Linked DNA regions of Oryza sativa Japonica Group. The protein of the gene in region 1 interacts with the protein of each later gene in a pairwise test. Links are inferred from orthologs where the notes say so. Each region holds a gene or a part of one and is shown on either strand. Other genes may lie near its edges.

Region 1 (3,658 bases):
TGCATGCACCATCTGTTTCCAGCCTACACTACAGTATAAAGAAAAGAGGCCACAAGTTTTGGAAAAGATGAAAGATAGGCTCCTCTCCCAATCCATCACCATCCCACTTATCAGTTTTGAGAACAACATCGGTCTAGTAGCAACTGCTCCTGAACCCACAGGAGGAAGCAAAAGCATGTCCATGCATCAGCAACAAAAGAGTAAAAATCAAAACAAAGCAAAGCAAGCTCGAACCTACATCGATCAACTACACCTAGCGCAACGCAACAGCCAACAGACACAGAGGCTTGCTAAGCTAAGCTAAAGCTTGCCATCGTGTTGCTGCATTCTCACAAGCCTAATTCTAAGAAGCTCCGAGTGAATTCTTGAAACAAAAACCAATGACATGCGCAGCAGCAGAAGAGATCGATGGAAAACCAACCAACCAACCAACCGATATGTAGTAGCATCAGTAGTAGTGCACTTGTGCTACCTCCAAACTTTGCTCCTCCCGAATGCAATCGACAATTCCTGCATGTCAAGAACACCAAAACCAGCAGCACAAGATTGATCAGCTAACTAACACGAGAAAAATTCTGAACTAATGCAGGTTAGCCATGAGAATTCTCGGTTTTTTTTTCTCACCGTGATGGAAGTGGAGGAGCTAGCTGATAGTCTGGTACATGGTGTGGTGTTTGCTCATGGTGGATTGGTGGTGGTGAAGTCATCTGCTCGCCACTGCTGCGGTCAGTGGTGAGAAGCCGAGGAGACAGACGACGGCGGCGGCGGCTTGTCGCCATTGCCGCCGCCGCCGCCGTTGTGCTCCTCGTCGCCCTGTATCCTCGCGGGGAGGCGGAAGCCGGAGAAGCCGATGCCGGGAGCGGCAAAACCGATGGCCGCCGACACGGAGGGGCTCAGCCCTCCTTGGTGGTGGCTCATCTGGTTGTCGGCTTCGACGGTCTCCGGCCATCCTCGCTCGGAGGGCTGGTTACTGGACTGAAGGGGTCCCCTCTGGAAGAAGAACTGGCTCTGGTGGCCACCCAGCGCCGCAGCCGCCGCCTGCATATGCGCCGCTTGCTGCGACACGTTGAACAGGTAGGCGGCGCCGCCGCCGCCGCCGGGGTCGGGCACGTTCCACGGCAGCATGCGCTGGTTCTGCGCCTGCTGCTCGGTGGCCCACATGGCTCCGCCGCCGAACGAGTAATTGGCGGCGCCGGAGAAGAGCGCCTGCTGCGTGGTGCCATTGCCGCCGCCGCCGCCGCCGCCATGGCGATGTTGCTGGTGGTGGAACATGGGGTCTGGTAAGGACTGCAGCGACAGCCGGAGCTCCTGGCTCTGGCTGCCGGTGCGGGACAGGAGGTCAGGCGTGTAGCTCTGGAAACCCATGGCCGACGACTGCGCCGCCGTGGTGGACGACGATGCCTCCCCGCCTGCGGTGCCACCCATGGGGAAGAAGGACTTGATCGTGTCGGCTATGGCGTCCGAGTCGAGCGACGGCGGGAGGAAGCTGGTCCCGCCGCTGCCCCCGCCGGCGAAGTCGAAGGCGGTGTGCGCGACGGTGATGGCCTGCGCCTGGTCGTCGGAGTTCTCGGCGGAGTCGGGGTGGGTCGAGGAGGACGGCGGCGCGGCGGCATTGCCCGCGCCTGCGCCGCCGGCAGTGGGCTGCCACGCCGGCAGCACGTCGAGCTTGTCGATGGCGTCCTTGGCGTTCTTGATGAGCCAGTCCACCGCCTTGCTCGGGCGGTCGTAGCCCAGCCGGTCCTGCACGTCGTAGAACTGGATGGCGGTGTGCGCCGACAGCCGCACGCGGCGGTCGCGCGGCCCGCGCGCCGTGCAGACCTTGCTGTGCCGGTCCTTCCGCCCTGTCGACCGCACAATGTGCCCGCCCTGCACCGCCACGATCTCCCCGCCGCCGCCGCCGCCTCCGCCCCTCGACCGTGGAGTTGTCGTCGCGGGGACAATCTCACCTCCACCTCCACGACCCCGAGTGTGGGACGCGGCGGGGGGCTGTGGCTGCGCCGTGAACTGATGCAGGTGGTGGTGGTGGCCGACGCCACCGAAGGAGAGGAGCTGAGGCTGGAAGCCGTGTTGGTGGTGGTGGGAGTGGCCGCCGGCGTCGCCCATGGGCGAGAGAAGGGCATACTCGGCGGAGGAGCCCGACAGCTGCCTCACGGACGCCGGCTGGAGGTGGAAGACGGGAACAGGCGGCGGTTCTTGGTCCTGCTGCACACCCTGGTGGTGGTGGAGCTGGAGAAGCCGGTGGTGGTCGTGCTGCTGCTGCTGCTGCTCATCTGCCTCCTCCTGTCCCCCGCTTCCTCCTCCTCCTACGCCGCCGCCGTCGCCGCCGTGGGTGACCCGGTGGTGGTGGTGCCTCGGATCCAGATCCCCCGCCGCCTTCTTCCCCGCCGCTACTGTTGCTGCTCCAATGCGCGTCCATCCACCTCGCCGGATCCCATAACTAGGTCGACAAGAAACACAAAAACCATCAAAAGAATCAACAAGAAGAAGGCCCCGGAGGAGGAGGAGGCTGCAAGAAGAAGAGGTGGTGGCCAGGGAGGGACTGACCCAGGAGAGGAGTGGGGGACTAAACTAGACGCAATCCCATGGATTGGACATCACATTTTAACAGGGGGGACGGCCAGCCAAAGCTTTTGCTCCTCTCTCACTCTCTTGTTGGGTTTGTGTGGGAAGCTTGGTGAGCAGGAGGCAGAAGGGAGGCAAGAAGACAGGATGATAAGAGTAGGATTTGTGCTTTAGTGAGGAGAGAGAGAGATAGAGATTTTTGCTTCACACTGCTGCTGCTGATGCTGGCTGCTGCTTTGTGTGTGAGTGTGTGTATCAGAAGCAGATGGAGCTTACCTTAGCTTGGCTGGGGCTGCAGGAGGCTGGAGCCCAAGTGATGAAGAGAGGTGGTGATTTGGGAATTGGGAAGGGATGGATGATGCTGGGGGATTGTGGGTTATGCATGCGTGGATGATTAGGACATCTGTTGTATTATTAAAAAACAGTAGACAACGATCGAATCGCGATGAAACTCGAACACACACACGTGTACGTGCCTTTGGGAAAAAAAATAAAAACCGGAGGCACACACCCTAGTCTCCATGGATAAGGAATTAAGCGCATCTCGATAGCTTTATGGTAATATATAGCAATTTTAACTATGTTTATATATACGTTCGTGTATATGTAACCGCTAGTATCTACTCGCACAATTGTGGAGTGATCTACTTAGCCGATTTTTCTTTTTTGTTGTACAGTAGACATGTTTGTCATGACATGAATATCTATGCTCTTCAGAAGCTAACTTGTGGTATTCTTAGAGAGTGCTTGTACTATAATTCTTGTAGTTGGGCAGTTGCATAGGCAAGTAAGATGGCAACTGGAGCTTTTTCAAGGGTATATGCCAATGGTTAATGATTTTCCTTTTTGGAAAGTCGAGAGTTGCAATATTAGTTTCAAATGTGAGACCTTTCCCCTGAGATACTTGTTTATAGATTGATGGTGTGTTTTATTTGTAGCCCCACCTTGCTAAAAGAGGGTTTTATGTGGCGTCATTGTCCAAACTTGCCCCAAGTTTGATCCATTGCATGGAAATAAGATCAAGCTATTTTTAGTTCATTTGATGCCAAAAACATAACGGGTCGAGGGACCGAGATGGTGCCCATAGATTTGTTCA
Region 2 (3,751 bases), on another chromosome or scaffold:
ACACTTCATTCCTATGTAAGTTAGGCATTTCACACAATAACAAGACAACAAGTAAAAACTAACAAGCAGTACACTTTGTTCAGTTGGAAAGCGAGTTTGAAGAACAGTGGATCAATGGTGAAGTGCCTGGATGGGAGAGCAAGGACCCAGAGAAAGAATCTGCACAAGAGTCAGTAATAGACCTTGATTACTATACCACTGTTGAAGAGCTTGTTGAGCTGGGCCCAGAAAAGTTGAAAGAGGTATGACTTGCAATACGTTGTTATTATTACCTTTTTTTTCCTGTCCTATTATTCAACTTTCGTTGGGCTTTTGTACCCTATTGATTGGTTTTGGTTTTTGCCAGGCTTTAGCTGCTCGTGGATTAAAAAGTGGTGGTACTGTTCAACAGCGTGCTGAGCGACTTTTCTTGTTGAAGGTAATTAATGTACTTTTAAACCTGGATATTCAGCTCATCTTTTTTTAAATATTTACCAAATATTCTGAACTTGTCGATGATTATATCTTGCAGCATACACCCTTGGAACAATTGGATCGTAAGCATTTTGCCAAAGGTTCACACAGTTCTGTCTCCAATGCTACTTCTAATGGTAACAATTTCAAGGATAATTTGAAGAAGGAAATTGCTTTAATGGAAGTAAAGATGAGGCGCCTTTGTGAGCTACTAGATGAGGTCAGCTTTGCCTTGCTCTATGTGTGGCTGTATATATCTTTCCTTTGATATGGACTTGTATAGCTGCATTATCTAATGACATGCTTCTCTTTTACTCCCTCTGTCCCACAAAATATCAACCTAGTACCTGACTTTGACATATCCTAGTACTATGAATCTGGACATATATCTGTCCAGATTCGTAGTACTAGGATGTGTCAACATCATCAGGTACTAGGTTGGTTTTTTATGGGACGGAGGGAGTACTTGTGTAGTCAATCTTTATATATTCTACTTCGGCTTTGATAAGTGTAACCTACTGGGATTTATTAATCCATGCTGTATAGTATGATCCTTTGAATTTGTTAGATCTTCAGGATGCTTTCTTATCTTGATTGGCTAGAAGTCTAGTAGTCTGATATAGGGTGTGTTCGCTATTCCTGGATCCCAACCGGATCCCTCTGCATGGAAAACGGAGCGGTCCATTAGCGTGTGATTAATTAAGTATTAGCTATTTTTTTTTAAAAAAATGGATTAATTTGATTTTTTTTAAAGCAACTTTCATATAGAAACTTTTTGCAAAAAACACACCGTTTAGCCGTTTGAAAAGCGTGCGCGCGGAAAACGAGGGAGAGGATTTGGGAAAAGGGGCATCCGAACACACCCATAGCATGGTATTTCACTCTCATGTGTGGTGTACTGCATAACCAGTGCTGTAAAAGGCACAAAAACGGTTATCTAGGCACTTAAGCATGGAATACACGAATAGCAAAGCAAAACCACCTGAGTATGCATCAGGAGCATCAACTTTTCACAAGATGCTTGTTCTGCTAGGCAGTCATGAAAACCTTAGATTTTGTGCACAAGATAATTAACAAACATATTAAATTACATGTAGGAGAAGTTAAAAAGTACTCTGTTTTGTTCCTTACTACCAAGAATATATAGCAAGGTTAACACTTGTAATTGCTGTGTTTGCTGATATCATGATATCCCATATTTAATGTGTGCCTATATTTTTAATACACCATTTTTATGTCCATAATGAAGTTAACCTGTGCTCATGTTTTGATATATCTTATGCTATTTATGCAGATCATTGTACGGACAAAGGAAAATGCAGAGAAGAAGCTGACTCTCACATATGAAGAAATGGAAGCAGAACGAGAAGAGGTAATCTGCATGCAGCCCTCTTAAATTCTGTTTTCTGATCTGCAAAAGGCCCTGATAGTAGAATAAAGGTCAAAGGTCATGTTGGGTCATACATTTTTTAACAGAGGGAGTAAAGATATGTTTAGTTAGAATTTTAGTTATTAGTGTGATACTTCGCTTCTAATTTTGTCCAAGAGTTCACAACTTGGTTCTACTTTTCCTCTATTTTCTTCTCCGTACTTCACAGAAGTAAAATAATAATATTCTACTCAAAGTACTGAACCTTTTGTCCTTTGTATTTTTTTCTATAGGAAGAAGTGCAAGCTGATAGTGAAAGTGATGATGAAGACCAACAAATCTACAATCCTCTTAAGTTGCCGATGGGTTGGGACGGCAAACCTATACCCTATTGGCTATATAAGCTCCATGGTCTTGGTCAGGTAAATATCTCATTGGTTTATATCTAAAGATTATTTAGTTCATGGCTGTTTTGCTAAATCATATCTTAGTATTACCAATGTTTAGAGCTGCAAAATTCCTGTTTTGCCAAAACAGAATGCTAATTTCTATAGACTACAAATGGTATTTGCATTCTCACATGCTCCATTTATTTTTTGTATTTTTATTCATTTTTCAATAATACCCTGAGCTTCAGCATTGGTGGCATCATTTTCCCATACAGTTCTAGATATTTACATATGATTTTAAATTGTTAACATATCTTAATTGCTATGATTTTTTTGTCAGGAATTCAAATGTGAGATATGTGGAAACCACAGCTACTGGGGGCGACGGGCTTATGAGCGGCATTTCAAGGAGTGGCGCCATCAGCACGGGATGCGCTGTCTTGGAATTCCTAATACTAAGAACTTCAATGAAATCACATCCATCCAGGTAAATCATCACTTTATGCTACCTGTACATCCACTGAATAGCTTAATTTGTTCTCTCAGAAATTTGAGAGAAATGAGTACTTTGCTTAATCTTCCCATATTGGCTGTTTTTATACATGTTCTCAGAAATTACTGTTGCTGCGAATGTGGTAAATTGGTAATGGAAGGGGCAATTGACACCTCTTATTTCTGTTTTCAGGAGGCAAAAGAACTCTGGGAGAAAATTCAACAACGACAAGGGCTGAACAAGTGGCGGCCAGACCTAGAAGAAGAGTACGAAGATCAGGAGGGAAATATCTACAACAAGAAGACCTACACTGATCTGCAGCGCCAGGGCCTGATTTAGAATCCCTGATGCGATCCTAACATTTTGGCCCCTATGGGCTGCTGCTGAAGTGGTTGGCCATTTGTTCTATTGAACTTCGTTGACCTCTGGGTAGTTGTAGCACTCGATACTTGTAGCACCATGGGTACTCCATTGCTCAAATGTTTCTTTTCTACTACATGGTATATTGCACTATATCCCTGTACCCTGTTTGACCATCTGGTATACTGTTTGCACAATCCAGGGTTAAATCGCCATTGTGTCGGAGATGTCGGAGTCAAACTTTATATCCAGAACACTAGAATGGATACTTCTAGAGGCATGCGTCCTATACATCTAATTTTGATAGGTTTAAACATGATCTAGAATGCGCACACAAAGATTATAAAAAAGCATAAAAGGCCAAAGAGAAAAAAGAGAGGAAGGAACGAGGGTGTAGTTTTCAATGTCTCGATGTTTGGTCTCCAAGACTAAAATGTCGCTTTAGTGCCAGCCATCAACGCTGATAGGAATTGGGATAAAAACACAACAAATATGTCGCAAATCAGCAGGCCTAACCTATCCCTGCCAATTGCTTCCAACTACCTATTTATAGTTTTAGAGAACGCCCAATTGGCAGTAAAATACAGCTACTACTGATTGGCCTCTCTAGGGTAATTTTCGCATGGAGTCACAACCCGAATCTATTAAAAACTCAAAACGACAAAATCCAGAGTTTATAAGAAGAAT
Region 3 (3,751 bases), on another chromosome or scaffold:
CCAGGAAGATTGCCTTAGGCCCAGGAATACAAAAGACACTGTGGGCTGGTTTGGTTTGAGGCCTAAATTAGGCTTACCAATATTTGGCAATTTCAATAGTGTTTAGTGTCTATTTGGTTTGAAGCCAAATTTTGGCATGCCTAAGAAAATAGGCCATTTCAATAGTGAACTTAGGCTATTTTGGCTTCAATCCAAACACAACTTTGCCTTACCAAAATTAGTCATGCCAAAACTTGCCAAAATTTGGCATTGACATTTTTCATTATAGAATCAGCCCTATCGCTTAAGGTTCCTGTTGAGTACGATCTTTTTTCGAACTTACAGGGGCGCTGCGACAGCTAAATAAAGCGAGCACTCGGCAACTTCAATCTCACCTCTACCCGCATTGAGGTCAAAACCATCTCTCGATCGGGGCTATACTACTGAGTCGAGTTTGAGGTAGTCCCTTTATGTTTGTACCTTAAAATGGAAAAGGGGCGTGGTGCCTTCTAGCGGGAGCTGTAACACCACTTGGTCCACAAACCAAACCAACCTTGTATACCCATTTTAATATCCCTATCATAAGGGTAATCATGTAAATTCCCCTATAACTAAACCCTAGAGGGTATGAGCCTATACTAGGACTATAAATAGCCCCCTAGGCCATGTAATGGGGTGATCCTAAAATATTTTTACCAATCAATATATTGTTTTACTATTCCAACAATTCATCGAGTTTACCATATCCTTCGACGTGAAACAGTTGTCATTCGACAATAGTATCCTTGAACCACAACACCAAATATCTTGACCCTTCAACTATTAAAACCGTTCCAATTTGACTTCCTTTGGTTTTAGAGGGCGGTTTCGCTGACGTTGCGTCTACATGGCAGCATTGACTTGGTCTATAACGTTGACGTGTCGCTTAGATGGTATTAGAGTTAAAAACATATATGTGGGATCCATTTATCATTCACACACTAAGAAAAAATTATTATGAGCCAACATATAGGACTCACATGTCATCCTCTCCTCACTCCTTGCACTCTCTCCCTTCTCTCTCCTTGCACTCTCTCCCTTCTCTCTATCTCGCTCTCTCCCCTTCGGCCGCATCGCCGCCTGGCGCCGAGCGGCACCATGCTGCCACCTGCATCGCCGCCTGCTGTCCGTCAGTGCCTCTCCTTCACCTCCCACCGCATCGCTGCCTGCCGCCGAGAGGCGCCCCTCATGAAGGGAGAGAGCGAGGAGGAAGAAACGGTGTGAAGGTTTATCTTTCTTCACTACTTGCACGATGATGACGATGTGGAGCTAAAATTAGAAGCCCATGAAGGCTCAACTGTTACAGCCCAGCCCATAAGAAACGGTAGCCCAACACCCAACTCAACCCCCTATCTTCCATTCTCTCTCCTCCCGAAAGTCCGAAACCTCCCTTCCTCGCTCGCTTCACACCCCCCCTCTCTCTCCCCCCCAAACCCTAGCTCCCGATTCAGATCTCGCCTCTCCCTCGCCGCCGCCGCCATGGCCACCGGCGGCAACCCCAACCCGAACTCCACGCCGACCCCTCAGCCGCGCCCGCCCCAGCCGCAGCAGCAGGGCGGCTCCCCGGCGACCCCGCTCGGCCACCTCCGCCCGCCTTCCCTCGCGGGCTCCCCCTTCCAGGGCCTCTTCCACACCCCGCCCCAGCACAACCCGGCCTTCCAGATCCACATGGGCGCCGCCGCCTCGCCGCAGAACCCGCTTATGGCCGCTGCCGCCGCCGCCGCCGCCGCGGCCTCCGCCAAGCGCCCTCCCCAGAAGCCCCCCGCGCGGCCCCCCGCCCCGGGCTCCTCCTCCTCCGGGGGCGGCGCCGCCGCCGCCGCCGCCGCGGCCGCGTCCGCGGCCGCGGCGTACAAGGCCGCTGCCGCCGCGGCCGCCGTGGGGGCGAACTCCGCCGGCGGCGTCGACCTCACCCCGGCCGCCGCGCGGCGCAACAAGAAGCGGAAGCTCCCCGAGAAGCAGCTCCCCGACCGCGTCGCCGCGCTGCTCCCGGAGTCGGCACTGTACACTCAGCTGCTCGAGTTCGAGTCCCGCGTCGACGCCGCGCTGCACCGCAAGAAGGTGGACATCCAGGAGGCGCTCAAGTCACCCCCCGCGCTGCAGCGCACGCTCCGCATCTACGTGTTCAACACCTTCGCCAACCAGGCGCCGCGCACCATCCCGCCGCCCAAGAACGCCGAGCCGCCCACCTGGTCGCTCAAGATCATCGGCCGCGTGCTCGAGGACGGCGCCGAGCTGGACCCCGCCAGCGTCGTGCCCAAGCACAACCCTGTGTACCCCAAGTTCTCGTCCTTCTTCAAGAGGGTGACGATTGCGCTCGACCCGTCGCTGTACCCGGAGAACCCGCTGATCATTTGGGAGAATGCGCGGTCGGCCGCCCCACAGGAAGGGTTCGAGGTGAAGAGGAAAGGGGATAAGGAGTTCTCCGCGAATATCCGGCTGGAGATGAACTATAACCCTGAGAAGTTCAAGCTCTCGCAGCCTCTGATGGAGGTGCTCGGGGTTGAGGTGGACACTCGTTCGAGGGTGATTGCTGCCCTCTGGCAGTACATCAAAGCGAAGAAGCTGCAGAATCCAACCGATCCTTCGTTCTTTATGTGTGATCCACAGTTGAAGAAGGTCTTTGGGGAGGATAAGCTGAGGTTTGCGATGCTATCGCAGAAGATATCACAGCATCTCTCTCCTCCGCCGCCCATCAACTTGGAGCATAAGATTAAGCTCTCTGGGAATGGCGCGCATGCGAGTGCTTGCTATGATGTGATTGTGGATGTTCCTTTCCCTCTGCAGAAGGAGATGTCTGCATTTCTTGCCAACACTGAGAAGCACAAGGACATTGAGGCATGTGATGAGGTGATATCTGCTTCGATCAAGAAGATCCATGAGCACCGCAGGAGGAGGGCATTCTTCCTTGGTTTCAGCCAGTCCCCAGTGGAGTTCATCAATGCACTGATAGCGTCTCAGAGTAAAGATTTGAAGCTGATCGCAGGAGAAGCAAATAGGAATATTGAAAGAGAAAGACGTGCAGACTTCTATAATCAACCATGGTAAGCTCAAGCAAATCTTAAGGCTTTACTCATTGTACTTCCTGCTTGAAACCATATATCAATGTGCTGACTAATAAATTGTTTTCCATTCCACAACGAAACAGGGTTGAGGATGCTGTCATAAGATACCTGAACCGCAAACCGGCTAGCGGTAATGAGGGCCCAGGCGGTGGTGCTGGTGGTTCATGAGGAAAGGGGTTGGTATTACTGTAGTGCCATTTTGGTGTAGAAACAAGCTATCTGTTATGTACTAGTAAAAATTCAGATATGTTAGCGACAACCGATTTGTTTGCTGCTGTGAATGATCTTGGCAGGTGTACCTCCATTGTCTGTCCAAACGAGTTATCTACTTGTATGATTATGTGATAAGTGATCCCTAACTACGGTGGCAGTATGAATTGTCATGCTAATTGCTAAATGCTGAAGGGAAAATGCTCTGTTCTAGTTACCTAACATATAGGTATCATATGTGGGCACAAGTTTTCTCTGTATGATGCTGTGTGTGGCTTATCATTTGTCCCACTGGGGAGGTTGTGGAGGGGGACCTGAGACTCCGAGAAAGCTGTATCTTTTGTATTTGAACATGCTTATTGGAGGGAAAAGGAAATGGAAAGAGTCCCTATCTTTAAGTGCCTGGAGGATCAAGTCTCTTTTGGGCCAGCAGCATATGTTCTCTCTTTTGCTGGATCATC

What was found.
Region 2: the proteins of transcription factor PCF5 (region 1) and splicing factor SF3a60 homolog interact in binary tests that used the Arabidopsis thaliana proteins (3 or more experiments, as listed by UniProt). The link is inferred for Oryza sativa Japonica Group from reciprocal best matches to the Arabidopsis thaliana genes TCP4 and ATO.
Region 3: the proteins of transcription factor PCF5 (region 1) and SWI/SNF complex component SNF12 homolog interact in binary tests that used the Arabidopsis thaliana proteins (3 or more experiments, as listed by UniProt). The link is inferred for Oryza sativa Japonica Group from reciprocal best matches to the Arabidopsis thaliana genes TCP4 and CHC1.

The regions. Positions count from the first base shown.
Region 1 is NC_089035.1:6,231,304-6,234,961, forward strand, and holds transcription factor PCF5, read right to left. Parts: upstream 2,879-3,658; 5' UTR 2,545-2,878; intron 2,538-2,544; exon of another isoform or gene 2,438-2,537; 5' UTR 2,104-2,437; coding exon 727-2,103; 3' UTR 625-726; intron 511-624; 3' UTR 57-510; downstream 1-56. UniProt on the Arabidopsis thaliana protein: Transcription factor playing a pivotal role in the control of morphogenesis of shoot organs by negatively regulating the expression of boundary-specific genes such as CUC genes, probably through the induction of miRNA (e.g. miR164).
Region 2 is NC_089037.1:29,917,002-29,920,752, reverse strand, and holds the end of splicing factor SF3a60 homolog, read left to right. Parts: intron 1-83; coding exon 84-242; intron 243-346; coding exon 347-418; intron 419-511; coding exon 512-673; intron 674-1,747; coding exon 1,748-1,825; intron 1,826-2,115; coding exon 2,116-2,244; intron 2,245-2,551; coding exon 2,552-2,698; intron 2,699-2,896; coding exon 2,897-3,043; 3' UTR 3,044-3,289; downstream 3,290-3,751. UniProt on the Arabidopsis thaliana protein: Splicing factor homolog to SF3a60 that may be involved in pre-spliceosome formation. Is necessary for gametic cell fate determination.
Region 3 is NC_089038.1:19,088,775-19,092,525, forward strand, and holds SWI/SNF complex component SNF12 homolog, read left to right. Parts: upstream 1-1,448; 5' UTR 1,449-1,497; coding exon 1,498-3,059; intron 3,060-3,163; coding exon 3,164-3,248; 3' UTR 3,249-3,512; downstream 3,513-3,751. UniProt on the Arabidopsis thaliana protein: Involved in transcriptional activation and repression of select genes by chromatin remodeling (alteration of DNA-nucleosome topology).